4 linked regions of the Saccharomyces cerevisiae S288C genome follow. The gene in region 4 interacts genetically with the main gene of each other region. Each region holds a gene or a part of one and is shown on either strand. Other genes may lie near its edges. The genes, in order: PUT2, PRO3, BAT2 and PUT1.

Region 1 (4,113 bases), on a different chromosome or scaffold from region 4:
ACTTTAGATGAAATAGAGCAAAATTCCCTAAGACAATAGAAGATACAAAAGCAAGTTGGGCCCTTAATTTCATCAAAGGTATAGCATCTCATCAAATAGTCGCTTGTTTATCGCAATACTTGCTTATTGAGTAGTTGTATTATAACGTTATATAGGATCTTCCATATGGAAAGTTTTGAAAATTTGAGCATAAGAGACAGTTTCACTAGCGGAATGGAACACGTTGACGAGGAGTTAGGAGGCCTCTCCGACCTAAGTATATCTAAGCAGGGGCCAACTTTGTCACCACAGCTTATCAACCGATTTATGCCCCATTTTCCCTCGAGCCCATCACCTCTGCGAAATACATTGGATTTTAGTGCTGCTAAAGCTGATGAGGAAGAAGATGACCGAATGGAAATAGATGAGGTTGATGATACAAGTTTTGAAGAAGAATATAATAACGAGCCAATCGAAACTCATACTGAAGCGACTGAGAATGCCGTGGTGGAAGAAATCGAGGCTACCCCAGAAGAAAGACAAAAGCAAGAGAAGAATGAAAGCCAAGACCAAAGTGTAGAAGAGGTCGAGAACATTGTTTCACCGCATCGTTCAACTGTCATAAAGGCATTATTATCACCGACCGATTTAGGTGTGGCCGCAGCTACTAAAGTTGAAGGTGTTGTGCCATTACCACCATCGGCCAATCAAGATGACAATGAAAGTTCGAATAACAACGCAGAGGGTGAAGACATAATCAGAAATGAAGAAGTCGAAGATGAGATCAAATCATCACTTGGCAACCACAAGTCAAGCCAGTACGCAAATGCGTTCGATTCGGAAATAATCAAGAGGGAATTAAGATCAAGATCAAAATATCAACCAATTCAGGTTTCATTCAATACACACAACTACTTCTATTCAGATAAGGACGGCATTAAAACTTATTCTCTTACTAAACCAAATCACAATAAAATAGATGAATTTTACGACCAAAATGAAGCTTTCAAGTTGCCTAAACCATGGTCACCCAATTCACATCCGGCATCAAGAGCGTCATATGCCCTAATGTCATATTTACAGTTATTTCTCAATGCGATCACTACAGTAGTGATTTTTAGTTTTATACTCTCATTTATCATAGCGCTTCAAAAGGACTTGAAATCCACATGGGAACAAAGAAAACATGAACTGCAGTACGAATCCAGAATTTGTCAAGAGCAGTACCTCACAAATCGTTGTAACCAGACGCCTGGCTTGCCGGCTCTGGGCGAACAATGTGCTATATGGAAACAGTGTATGGACAGAAATAACGATATCTTTTTCCGTGCAAGATCAACGTTGAGCGCAAAATTGTTCGGAGACATTATCAACTCATTCATAGATCCATTAAACTGGAAAACACTATTTGTTATTTTTTGTGGTGTGATAACTTGGTGTTTCAGTTCGAATTTCTTACTGGGTTTTGTAAGAGCCAAGAGCTACTATGGCAATGGCATCAAAACATATCCCTTGCCATCTTCACCGAAATCGCCGACATCAGAAGAAACACACTCATCTATGACAGCATCTGGAGAGGACTCACACCTACTTAAGCAATAGATTGTGCTATCTGGGACAGTAACAATGCTTATCTACGCCATCGGACATCTCGGGAAGCCAACTCCGAAGCCGACAAAAATTGGATAGGCCTACTATATAAGGGTGACAGGACAGCTGACTTTACTCCAGAAGTATATCCATGGAAAATATGTAATAATACAAACAAGTTAATATAATCTATATTGTATAGAAGGCCAATTCAAATTCACAGGAATTATGCTATCAGCAAGGTGCCTCAAATCTATATACTTCAAGAGATCTTTCTCACAACTGGGACACATCAAGCCCCCCAAGCACATAAGAAATGAACCTGTTAAGCCATTTAGAAACATAGACTTAAAAGACTGGGACTTACTGAGGGCTTCCTTGATGAAATTCAAAAGTTCTTCTTTAGAAGTGCCACTGGTCATCAATGGGGAAAGGATATATGACAATAATGAAAGAGCGCTTTTCCCGCAGACTAACCCTGCGAACCATCAACAAGTACTGGCAAACGTCACACAAGCCACGGAAAAAGATGTCATGAATGCTGTAAAAGCCGCCAAGGATGCCAAAAAGGATTGGTACAATCTACCGTTTTATGACAGATCTGCAATTTTTTTGAAAGCCGCTGACTTAATTTCCACCAAGTATCGTTATGACATGTTAGCTGCTACAATGCTGGGCCAGGGAAAAAATGTGTATCAGGCAGAAATCGACTGTATCACGGAATTATCTGACTTTTTTAGATACTATGTCAAGTATGCATCAGACTTGTATGCTCAACAACCCGTAGAGTCAGCGGATGGTACTTGGAATAAAGCTGAATACAGACCTTTAGAGGGATTTGTGTATGCTGTTTCACCATTCAACTTTACTGCTATTGCTGCAAACTTGATTGGGGCTCCAGCTTTGATGGGTAATACAGTTGTCTGGAAACCTTCACAAACCGCTGCCCTTTCAAATTACTTATTGATGACTGTTTTGGAAGAAGCGGGATTGCCAAAGGGTGTCATAAATTTCATTCCAGGTGATCCAGTTCAAGTTACTGACCAGGTATTAGCTGATAAAGATTTTGGTGCCTTGCATTTTACCGGTTCTACAAATGTCTTTAAGAGTTTGTATGGCAAAATACAAAGTGGCGTTGTTGAAGGGAAGTACAGAGATTACCCCCGTATTATTGGTGAGACAGGTGGTAAAAATTTCCATCTAGTTCACCCAAGTGCAAATATATCACATGCAGTACTCTCTACTATTAGAGGCACTTTCGAGTTCCAAGGCCAAAAGTGCTCTGCCGCTTCCAGGTTATATCTTCCAGAGTCAAAAAGTGAAGAATTCTTATCCGATATGTTTGGCATATTGCAGTCACAGAATGTTGTCCCAATGAACACATCCGCAAGTCCAATTTCTGGTGGGAATTTGCGGGGATTTATGGGTCCTGTCATCCATGAACAAAGTTTCGACAAATTAGTTAAAGTAATTGAAGATGCAAAGAAAGACCCCGAGTTGGAAATTCTTTACGGTGGACAATACGATAAAAGCCAAGGTTGGTTTGTCGGACCCACAGTCATAAAAGCCAAGAGACCAGATCATCCATATATGTCAACAGAATTTTTTGGCCCTATATTAACTGTTTACGAGTATCCAGATACTGAATTTAATGAAATCTGTGATATTATCGATAATACGAGTCAATACGCCTTAACTGGTGCTATTTTTGCCAAAGATCGTAAAGCAATTGAATACGCAGATGAGAAGTTGAAGTTTAGCGCAGGAAATTTCTACATAAATGATAAGTGTACTGGTGCCGTTGTTTCTCAGCAATGGTTTGGTGGCGCAAGAATGAGTGGTACCGACGATAAGGCTGGTGGTCCAAACATTTTAAGCAGATTTGTCAGTATTAGAAACACAAAGGAGAACTTCTACGAGTTGACTGATTTCAAATATCCATCGAATTATGAATAAAAAAATTTTTGTGGAATAGAACCGCGAATGCAGTCACTTCATCCATCAACTCATGTAAATGTTAGATTATCGAAAAAAGGGTTTTGATTACTTCATTAGGTTTTTTTAGTTTTACAATTTTAATTTATCTAGGTAAATAGTTTAAAAATATTCATTGAACCAACCGTCCAAATTCCCGTTCTATATTCTGTCATGACTTACTTATTCACGTTGCTATTTATTCGCCGCATATTCATTCTGTTTTTGGCATAAGGACCCGTCCGGAAACAGAACATCAATTTATTAAATACGTCCATTCGTAAGCTTAAAGATGGAAACTTTGGCGAGCAGTCCCTGACAAGAAAAATAACAGCAAGAAATAATGATTTTAACCACAGCTAGATTAAATTGTAGACCAGTCACCGTTCCTCGTCTATTTAATCGTTCTTTTAGTCAATCTTTCATAATTTTGAAGAAAAAAAGTTCTACCCCTACTGAGAAAGTCGAAGAAGATGAAATTGACGTGAATGAACTGCTGAAAAAGGCAGAAACTCAATTCAAAAAAACTTTAGAAATTCAAAAACAGAAAATGAATGAGATAAAACAGGG
Region 2 (3,458 bases), on a different chromosome or scaffold from region 4:
GCCATTGACAGTGGTTTGCCATTGGTGGCATTGATATCTGGTGGCAACAAATCTTGTTTCAAAGCAGAAATAAACCTGGCCGCAGAGTGCACTAGGACGGCTGACCTATCAGCTTGAGTGATGTTTGGCAAAGCGTCATCTGCGAGAACCAAGAAGGGATTCCTGGGTAGGACATCGTCCTGAATCTCCCTAGTGGAGGTCTGGTTATTGATGTCTAAGTGTAATTCATCAAGGTAGCAATCCCTAGTGTCATGGTAGCTCTGTAGTTTAGATTGCAGCTTCTCACTTACGGGATTCTCTTCAAAATCTCTTATTATGGATGACAGCTTCTCAATTTGTTCTGGATCTAAAGGATGTTGATAGTAACCATCAGCATAATACAATGGCTCTAAACTCTCCTTCAGACGCTGCAAAGTGTCACAGAGTTTAGGTAATGGTAACTTGGGTAGTTCTTCCTCATGCTTAAATGTTCGCCCCGACTTGTCAGACGAAACAATAGTACTGCCGCTTGACATGGTTGCTTAGTTTTATTTTAATTTTGATTTTTGATTTTCATTTCAAATGAATCAATTGCTCTTACTCATTACAAACACATTTATATAATTTTTTTCTTTTATACGCTCCAATTAGTGTCATTATTATGGGGTAGTCATTCATCGTGATGATTCATTATCGGACCGACGGGAAAATGACGAAAAAATGCAAGGTCAGTAATAAAAAAATAATATACGGCTACAAAGCGAACATACATACATTTCACGCAAAGCAATCTATTTCTTCTTTTGGCCTAATTGTGACGCAACACGGGCTGCCTCTTCAACACCATTGATAATACCGCTCTTGACGCCCTTTTCTTCCATTACGCACAACCCGGCAATAGTTGTACCACCTGGTGTGCAAACTTGATGCTTTAAAACGGATGGATGAGCACCGCTTTTCTCAACCATCTTCACTGTTCCTTCTAGAACTTTCATGGCACACTCCTTACTCTCTTGTAATGGGATTCCCAATTTCAACCCACTCTCCATCAAGGATTCTAACATCAAGAGAACAAAAGCGGGGCCTGAACCGACTAAAGCCGTAGCAGCATCCATGTTCTTTTCTGGAAGCTCAACGTATTTACCAACTTGGCTAATCAATTCGTTGACCAGTGGCTTTTGCTCTTTGGAAACATCAGCTGAGTAGGACACCACCGCACAACCATATCCGTACTTGGCAGGTGTGTTCGTCATAACACGGCAAACAGTGCTAGTGTATTGACTCAATTGGTCAATTGTCCAGCCAGCAGCCAGGGAAATAAGTAGCTTTCCCCCAATGACGCTCTTCACACCATTCAACACTTCTTCGGCCAAAAATGGCTTGGTACCAAGAAGAACTACAGAAGCTTCTTCGACAGCGCTCACGTTGTGACCGTAAGTGCTTTCGACTTTAATACCGTTAGGAGATTCGTCGAATGTCTCAACTAGATCGGTAACTTGTTGTGCACTAGGTTCATCATGGTTACATGTGATAATTTTGGAAGGGTAAAATGCAGCAGCAGTTTCATCAGCCGCCTTTGGAGCATTATAAATGGCGGAAAGAAGTGCTTGGCCCATAACACCGCAGCCTAAAATTGCCAATGTGTAAGTCATATCTGTAGTTGGTTTGTTTGCTATTGGTGTTGTGTTACTTCTATTGTTGTTACACCGTTCTTAACCTGGCAATGTTATTAAATCCTTCATATTCTTGTTTTCGAAGATAAGATCTTGTCCTTTTGTACGTATGCGACTTTATATAGTAATAAATGGCATTCTATGGCAATGTATGTAGGTTTAAGGAGTGACTCAGGATATTACACCTTCTTTTGCTGGATGTACTCAGCGACAATAAAATGTAGGAAGTCCTCTACTTCTTTAAAATCAGAAAATGTTGTGTCAAAGGACACTGCGTTGGCTTCCGTACCAGCTGAAAACTTGATGTGAATGAGTGCGTTACAATAGTTAGGACTTTCGAGCATTAAACTTAGATTAGGGCTTTTGTGCTCAGTTAATGGTAGATTTATTTTGAGTTCACGTCTAGGTATATTCAATAGTTTATCGAAGGCACGGATCTCTTTATTTAATTTAGTTATATTTTCATCATCAATGTTTTTATTTTCTTGAGGTTGTTCTCTCTCAACTTCCGTTTCTGTTATACTTGAGCCAGGAACTATATCGAGCACGTAATCCTTTATGATTTTTTTTAGTAACAGTTTGTAATTAGCAAACCGAACTTTACCAAGAATGGGACGTATTATTAAGATATCATCGTCAACATTCAAATTGATCAGTCCGTGGGGTGAGCTTATTCTCGATCGTAATGTTTTCTTGAATATAACGACTAATAATAGTCTCAACATAACAAGCATTAAATTTGCTCTCTTGTCGTTGATTTTTGGTAAGTCTTGTTCATGATTGACAATGGAGTCATCGTCAAGGGACAACAACTCGATTTCAAATTTTTCGTTAGGTAGTTCAATTATTACCTTGTTTTCGTTTTCAATACTGACACCATAGGAAATCAACAAAGCGCATTCTTTCTTTATTTGGTACATCAGTTCTTTTTCAAAAATGATCTTTTTCAAAAGTTGGATTTGCTTTCTGATATCTTTCGTTTCAGCTTCTTCACTTTCACTATCCCTATCCATCACACTTTCGCCACTCAATATGTAATCATCTTCTGATTCGATTTTTGTGAAGATACGAACCCTTAAGAATTTCTTTACTGAATGTACGAAATCAGTGCCTTTGAACACTGAACTACTGTGGGGTATCAAATCCAAATTTTGTGATTCTATATTATTCCTTATATTAGCAATACCTCTGTCATGCTTATAGGTAGATCCAGAGTCTTCGTAACCATACTTAATTGCCAACAGCTTTTGACCACTAGTCCTGTCCCTAATCTTAAAAATAACATCCTTGTTGCTAATACTCTGCATTATCTTATTCCAATAGTCATGTTCGTTCTGTAATATGGAACTCAGTTTATTAAAACTTGCGCGTAGGAGATCTTTAGATTCGTTTAAACTTTGTAACTTCCATCCCTTATTCAATATATCCAACTCGATATATTCTTTTTTTGTAGGTGCAACATATGGAATTTTATCACTGTTTAAACTAGAAGGTTTAACAACTTTCCTAAGAAATGGTGACATTGATGACATACCTGTAGACTCTTTAACACTCGACAGTAGCAAAGAAACGAATTCCAAAGCCAAAGACGATTCGTTCATGGCCAGATTTATATGCTCTAGCATATCCCTCCTTCTTTTAACAAACTGTTCCTGTGTCATTACCGTTTCAATATTATCATCGGTCTCGCCATTTTCATTCGTTTTGTGGTCTGTTTCATTTCGTGAATCCACTGGATTATCTTTATCTTCATAATCCACTTCCATGAAATCTTCTCCAATTTGTACATTCTCATCAGCGCCATCA
Region 3 (3,571 bases), on a different chromosome or scaffold from region 4:
ATTACCATTATCGAATTTAATCTCATTCATATCAATCGGCACATTCATAGACTTTCTGTATAGCTTCGCCCAGTTAGCTGTTTGAAGATCGGTCGGTTTATCAACGATATCATGGCAAAAAAAGTTTAGGTTGAGATTGCCCTCTAAAGATTCATCGGCTACTTGATCTCTGAATTGTGAAACCATCAGTTTAAGCTTTTCAATATCATTGACCTTTCTGAAGTCTAAGTGGGATAGGGGTAGTGAAGCTATGGCGCCCGCAATACAAGCCTTAGCGGCCATTTCAATAGTCGTGACCCCCGCCATAGGGGCCTGGATGATAGGGTATCTCAAGTTTAAACATTTTTGGAAAGATCTGCTCATATCTTCTCTTTTATCCACCGACATTACGGAAACGTCTTGAAATATTAGTTGGTTTAAAAAGTACATGAATTGTCTTGAGTTGCTTCTAAGGTATGTATGGGCCCTTTTCTATCCGCGCAAAAGATGTCCTTGATACCGATAGGCCAGCACTAGATGACAAGAAAAAAAACGAAAGGATAATTGCAGGTTTCGACATACATTTTTTATCAGATCACTGCAAAATCCAGGAATTCATATATACAATGTCAAAGGGTATGTTATATTCTGACATGACCCCTTAACTCAGTAGAAAAAACGCTCTAGTTTTATTCTTTTTAACTTTTAATTACTTTACGTAGCAATAGCGATACTTCAGTTCAAATCAGTAACAACCCTTGACCAATTGCCATGCTCAGTCTCGCCATATTGGATTCCATTAATCCATTGTGCAACTTCTTTGGCCAATGGACCGGTTTGTTCGCCGGGCAACAACGGAATATTAATTTGTTCGCCTTTCCAGCCGATTTCCTTAATGGGAGAAACAATCGCAGCAGTACCAGAACCAAAGGCTTCAAGTAGTTCACCGTTCTTGGATCTCTCAGTAACTTCGCCTATAGTGAAGTAGCGTTCACTAATGGTCCATTCACTTGGTTCGAGTCTTTCTTTAGCAAGATTTAAAATGGAATCCCTAGTAACACCTTCCAAAATGGTACCGTCTAGTGGAGCAGTAACTAGTTCCTTCTTGCCCGTTTTACTATCTTTAAACACGAAAAAAGCATTCATGGTGCCGACTTCAGTAATGTTGTTATTTGGACCAAATAGCCATAAATTTTGTTGGTAACCCCTTGAAGCAGCTTGCAATTGTGGCAGGACGCAGGGGGCGTAGTTTGCACCTAGTTTCTTGTCACCACAGCCTCCTGGCCAAGCTCTTGTGGCATAATCAGTGGCTTCCAGTCTGACCGCCTTAAATCCAGTTTTGTAATAAGGACCCACAGGGCAGCAAATGACATATAGCAAGGCTCTATCAGGCGTGGAAACCCCTAAACCGGCCGTAGTGCCGATTAATGTAGGCCTGATATATAAAGAGTAACCTTTTCCTTCAGGAACTAAGCACTTATCTTGCTGGATCAGTTTCCCAATTAGGGTAATCAACTCTTCTGGGTCGAACGTTGGCAAACAGATTCTCTGAGCAGACTTATTCATGCGCTTCATATTCATATCTGGACGAAACATTGTAATTTTGTTGTCCACCGTTCTGTAAGCCTTCATCCCTTCGAATAGCTCAAAAGCATAATGGAAAACCACCGCGGAAGGGTCTAAAGACAGATTTTGATAAGGTTTAATCTCTGGGGTACCCCACCCTTTTTCAGCTGTCCATTCCGCAGTTAACATGTGGTCCGTGAAGCTCTTGCCAAACACTAACTCACTGTTCGGTTTTGGCTTAGATGCATGTTGTGTGGTAGTTATCTTAACTTTGGAGGCGTCTAGGGGTGCCAAGGTCATATCGTTCTTAAAACTCGTGGAGATGCTTTCCCTTAAATTTCTAAAATTTTAGTAGTTAGTCTGTTTTTATTAAGGATTTCTCAAAGGAATGAATTTTTTCCCAGGAAATAGTCGAATATCTTGTAAGCTTATATTAGTTATACTGTCAGCTCATTTCGGATCTCCTCTCACTCACGTACGGCTCTTAATTTCTACCTATTATTTCCGTTTTTGTTGACAGAAAAACGGACATAGAAGAACGACACCAAAAAGAAAAAGAGTCGGATCTACAGATTAGATAACAAGAGGTGTCAGAGAGGGAAAAGAAGCTAAATTAAGTGTCACCCGAAAGCGGAAAAAGAACGCCGTTTGCAAGAATGGTTCCGGGGCCAATGGAACATTAAACTTTGGTGTAGTGCGGTCACAGAAAAAAAAAATCGTACACGTATATAGTGGTATGCTAGGTCGTGAATGACCCTCAGAGGCAGGTTTTCACGTTCGAAGATGTTTGGAAAGGAGCGTTATAAGTTGTGTTGGGGTGAAGGGGCTAACTAGGATGTCACTGAACCCCAACTGCAAAAAATGGTGGAAATAATAGCGAGAGTAGTTGGAGGGAGCAATGCTGGTATCTTGAGGGGAGACGGGTCTGTTAATAATGGCTATTACAGGAAAGCTTGGGAGTAGGTTTCTCAGTCTCTTGAAGTAGATGAGATGTTCTTGTTGCATGTTGGGCGACACGGTGACGAAAAGAAGGTCGTATGCCTCGGGATGCAACTGCGGGTGCCACTGAGTGGCCGTATCCAAAGAGCAGTTCATAAATTCGAACACGCCGGCGAAGCGCATCAAAGGTGTTTCTGACAATTCGGATGCGTTTGGTATTAGTAACAGCAACGAGTAGCGTTTGGGGCGCTTTGGTTGGCGTTGCTGGTGTTGTAGACAAGAGTCCGGGCATACAACCTTTTTGATGGCTTCAAAATTTTCTTGAAGGAAGTTAGCGGTTTGGTAGGCGTGAAACTGGTGGTAGGAGATTGTCTGTAAGCTGGCGTTAATTTCCCTTATAATACGCAGACTATCTGCGTTTGTCGACTTAAGCTCATCAAGATTGCCCTGAAGCCTGTCAACATTTTTCACTAATTTCTCGAAGGAAGGCTTGCCGATGGCCTTGCTTAGAATGGAGTTCACTTTGAAAGGGTCCCAGTGAAAAGTACACTGCTTATTCATATTATTGACGGCGGCGACATTGGGAGTGGCGGCAGACTGATGAGCTTTAACCAGTGAGAGGCTATTAATGTTATCTTTTTGAAAATGAATGTTGGAAAACTCCACGCAGTCCGGGCGGCCCGCCTTCTGGAAGTTATATTTGCTCAATTGCTTAACGAATGCTGCAAAGGTGTGAATACCAAAAAATCGCTCTAGGATGACTTTGGTGAACTGGTCCGGATTCCAAATGACGAGCTTGCTGCCATCAGTCGACCATTGTATTATGTTCGAGTAAGCGTTCCCCTGCAGCAGGTGGTAGAGTTTGCTTACAAAGACATCAGGCTGCTCCATCCTCGATGTTGCATCCATGTCTGACGTGCGTCGCTACACGAAAGAGACACACTTGGCGACTGCCCTGACTGGCAATATATACAGTCCGCAAATGTCGCGGACTGATGCGTCCACTTACTCTTCCTATATACCACCTGGGTGAAGAGGAGAAGTGAGCCCGTTCTGGAGATATATGTCCAAATATTTGCAGATCCAG
Region 4 (3,918 bases):
GGGGAATTGAACCCCGATCTGGCACGCGACAAGCGCCCATTCTGACCATTAAACTATCACGGATAAGAAACACTGGAAAACTATGTATCCCAAAATCCCATACGTTGGTTTACTAACACTACTAGATGTATTATTCATAGGTACCCCAAAATCCTTACAAAGAGACAAGGCTGAGTGTATCAAGCAAAACCGCTTTAAATCTGATGTTCTGCGCTTTCTCCCTTTGATTAGATTCAGGTCTTATGTAGTTTATAGAAGATGAGTACCTTTCTTGTGCATAAGAGTTGATAATAAGCCTGACGACGACAAGCCACTTTCCTACCGATTTAGGATTGGCAAAACATCTGGTACTATTCGAACCCATAATCAATAGGAAGAAAGCTTTACCAACAGATTGTTATTTAAGTGGTTCAAGTATATTAACTCTTGATATCCGTGCGTTTACTTTACTATTAGTGTTATTATCATTACTTATATATAATATGTATAACTAGAACATCAGAATTATGTATGCATACTTTTTTTTTTTTTTGGTTTTTTGGTTTGTCTTTGAAATTGGAGTATATATTATAGTCCTCTCATAGGCCTACTCTTTTTGGAATCGACTTTGCTATGGCCTTGATTAATGGCCAGCCATTATCAGATCTCACAGCATCCCCGTTTTCTTGCAATCTTCTCAAAAGATAATCTTTAGTTTCCAATGGTGGGCCCCATGGGACATACTTGATTATGTTTTTAGCGCCATGGTTGGTAATTAGGTCATAGGTAACATTATCTGCCATACCTAGTAATTGCCCCAACACAATGTTCGATTTGGCATAAGAGTTGTCTTGGGTAGATTTTAGCAAATTAGTAACGAGCATTTGGGATTGGTAATTATGAGAGGCGACAACCAAGTGACCAAAATAAGAATCCTCGCCATTGATGATTAAATCATTGACAACTTGAGTGATGATACGATCGTAATTTTCGTCAGTGCCCGTTTTATCGCCAAAGATAATTTGGTTACGGTTTTTTTCAGAATGAATATAAGCACCACGAACCAGTTTCAGCCCAAGCTTATAGCCGTTTTCTTGGGCCAGCTTCAATTCGTGCAAAATATGGTCACCAGAGTCCCTTAGGTACAACTGCCAAGTACCGACACATGATATCAGTTTAGATGAAGTGGGATTGAATTTTTGAAATAAGATTCTCTGTAATTCGTAAACACCATTCTCCTGCAAATCATACTTCTCAGCGTCAATAGTGGAAACCATAAATGGGGCCTTTCTTTCAGGGTACTTCTTTAACAAAGATTGATTTAGTTCAAAAATCTCTTTTGTAATCTTAGAGCAGTTCTCGATCAGCTGATCCCTTTGAGCCTTGTAGGCGGGATTACTGAAATTGTACAGAACCTCGTGAGGGTTATCGACCAAAGCAGAGGGTTTTAGAGCGATATAACCTGGAGCAATGTCATTGATTGGCTTAGATTCCAGCTGGCCAATAATATTGGGCAGTAGGATGTTGTGGACAGAGCTGATTGTTTCCTTGACAATTTGGTCTACTGGAGTACTGGACAAACTCTTTGTACCTTCGGAATTTTCAATAGTTAATGAAAGCATCATGTTCGATATACCTCTCTTCTGCAGACGTTTGCCGCATTCGATGACCTCTTTAAAGTTCTCACCGCCACAGTATAAAGAAGAGACGAAGAATTTTATTACTGGGATGGGGATGTAAGGGAACAACTTAATGATCGTGTTCAGGAAGAAGCTGTTCAAGGTCGCAATACCGATGAATCCCAGTTGGAATAGTTCCTTCTTGGGAAGTGTCTGTAGAAAATTGATTGAGTTAGGAGGTGCCATCACACTATTGCCGTTGGCATTGGCGGCCGGAGTTTCAACCATCAGATTAGCAGCCGTGTTAGAGTGTGTCGGAGTCTTTGACACATAGGACCTCTTTATCAAAGGAAAGCATAGAGAGGGTATGCGCGATTTAGTAACTAATAAGGAGCTTTTGGAAGCTATCATTTCTAGCGTGCGTTAGTGTTATTACTATGTAGCGATGTTTATGATATATAAAAGACAAAAGAGAAGAGCTGCTACGGACTTGTGGAGTTTGTGTTCGGTTCCCAGCAAGCTTTATATAAGAAGGCAGAAGGGTGAGAAAATGGGCTTAGTTCATGCGATTTCTCCTGATAATAGACGATACTAAGTACAATAATGAGATGATAAGGGAAATAGCGCCACTCATCAATTGTTTATCATTCATTTTTCTTGTGTAGATATGCTTTTCGGGATGCGAAACCCGAGGCGTGGTAACCGGAAAGCCATTGCCGAAAGGAAATTCCAATCAAAAAAGCGGTGGAGCTAACGGAGGGAATAAGCGAAAGAATAATGAAAACAAAAATTATGTCCCTGCGCGATTTTTCGCATTGTGTCTCATTTGGATAACCATTTTAGCAACTGATTTTCATGTAATGCTGATCGGAACAAGTCCGCTTCGTCGATTTCATCCCTTTCTGCCTCGCTTTCACCTTCACTTGCAGTGTTATCTTGTTCTTGATTTTCTTGATTTTCTTGATTTTCTTGATTTTCGTCTTGATGGACTGGGGGCGCATCCCGTCTGGACAACTGGCTTTGTAGAAACAGATGTGCCATCTCCTTGGTGCGGAACAGTTTGCCCTCTCGCGGATAGTCTAGTTCCCATTTGCGCAGTGTCAAAACAATGCGCCTTGGAAGCACGTGTAGGTCACGTGATCGGGCTTCTGTGCATAGTGCACGCTCAACTTGCCGGCGAGTTACCACCGTCGGTAGCGACTTGTGTCCTCGAGATTCGGCCGCCCTGGCGCTGACGCTGCGGGAAGCCATACCCGCAAGGGCCGTGCACCACAGCAATGTACGTGTGTAGCGACTTACGCAGCGCTCCAAAGTCTGCGTCGCGCTGCGCGATAGCGGCAGCGCGTGGCGGGGCAAGGGTCTTATCTCCGCGATACGGCTGTGCGAGTAGATGGCCACCCACCTGCGTTTCCAGCTTTCATAATCGATAAGGCCCTCGCAGTGTCCTTCCTCATCGGCAACCTCGGCTGCGCCTTCCGTGATGGCCATCACTGTCTCGCTCAGTTTTGTCTCCAGGGCAACCCACTCAGCGCTCATTTCGTACGCAATGGGCGCTCCGTCGTCACCCGCCTTACGCGATCTCGCGCTCGCACTCGCTCTCCTTAACAACCTGTAATAACCTAGAATCTCCATGGCGCTCTTCCGAGGCAACAATGAGCGCCACTCGTCTACACGGTGGATACTATAGCGTGAAAGGCACCAGAAAAAGGTATTCTTCTCCTCGCTGTCCCAGTCTACACCAACGCTAGAGATTTCTACACCAGCATTGGCGGTACCCGCCTTTTCATGGATGCTCTTTACATGTACTTTGGAAGGATGGAACTCAGCTGGGCGGCCTGACGCGGCACCATTGTAGAATTCCTCGACCTCCTTATTGTACAATTCGACGTACTTCCGCAATTGTTGGTGCTCCATCCTAGGTGACCGTCGTATGCGCTGTGCTTTCCTAGCTCTTCTTCCACTTCTGTTTCTCTATACTTTTTTTTTTGTTTTTCACCTCGCCCGCCTTTTCTTATTTCAGTGAACTGAAAAAAAAAAAAAAAGTTATGTATCTTTAATGTAATAAAACTAGTACATAATATATACGGAGCTTGAAGGCACTGGAGAAAATATAGAGTAAGCATATGTGGAAATTCAACAAAAAGCTCGCCCGTCTTACTTACCGTCTTTATTCAAGCTCAGGCCCAAGCTCGCCCCTTCATGGGAAGAAGAAACTGCCGCAAAATCTGAAATTCGTCGTCTTGAACCCTACCCAATCTGGGCTAGTGAAAAATGATCAGAAGCAGCCTAGACACAGGCCGTCTAAGAAACGTAGCCATAA

Evidence for each region.
Region 1: of PUT1 (region 4) and PUT2, changing one suppresses a phenotype caused by changing the other (phenotypic suppression), as found in Saccharomyces cerevisiae (one study listed by BioGRID).
Region 2: mutations in PUT1 (region 4) and PRO3 impair growth when combined (synthetic growth defect), as found in Saccharomyces cerevisiae (one study listed by BioGRID).
Region 3: mutations in PUT1 (region 4) and BAT2 are lethal when combined (synthetic lethality), as found in Saccharomyces cerevisiae (one study listed by BioGRID).

The regions. Positions count from the first base shown.
Region 1 is NC_001140.6:180,180-184,292, forward strand, and holds PUT2 (1-pyrroline-5-carboxylate dehydrogenase), read left to right. Parts: upstream 1-1,797; coding exon 1,798-3,525; downstream 3,526-4,113. Other genes in the region: BRL1 (Brl1p), read left to right, coding at 166-1,581; RRF1 (Rrf1p), read left to right, coding at 3,887-4,113.
Region 2 is NC_001137.3:199,249-202,706, reverse strand, and holds PRO3 (pyrroline-5-carboxylate reductase), read right to left. Parts: upstream 1,632-3,458; coding exon 771-1,631; downstream 1-770. Other genes in the region: carnitine O-acetyltransferase YAT2, read right to left, coding at 1-515; SRB4 (Srb4p), read right to left, coding at 1,832-3,458.
Region 3 is NC_001142.9:704,018-707,588, reverse strand, and holds BAT2 (branched-chain-amino-acid transaminase BAT2), read right to left. Parts: upstream 1,846-3,571; coding exon 715-1,845; downstream 1-714. Other genes in the region: YJR149W (putative nitronate monooxygenase), read right to left, coding at 1-429; HMS2 (Hms2p), read right to left, coding at 2,317-3,393; YJR146W (uncharacterized protein), read right to left, coding at 3,351-3,571. UniProt on the Saccharomyces cerevisiae protein: Cytoplasmic isozyme of branched-chain-amino-acid aminotransferase, which catalyzes the first reaction in the catabolism of the essential branched chain amino acids (BCAAs) leucine, isoleucine, and valine.
Region 4 is NC_001144.5:423,277-427,194, reverse strand, and holds PUT1 (proline dehydrogenase), read right to left. Parts: upstream 2,010-3,918; coding exon 579-2,009; downstream 1-578. Other genes in the region: RRN5 (Rrn5p), read right to left, coding at 2,421-3,512; SLS1 (Sls1p), read left to right, coding at 3,722-3,918.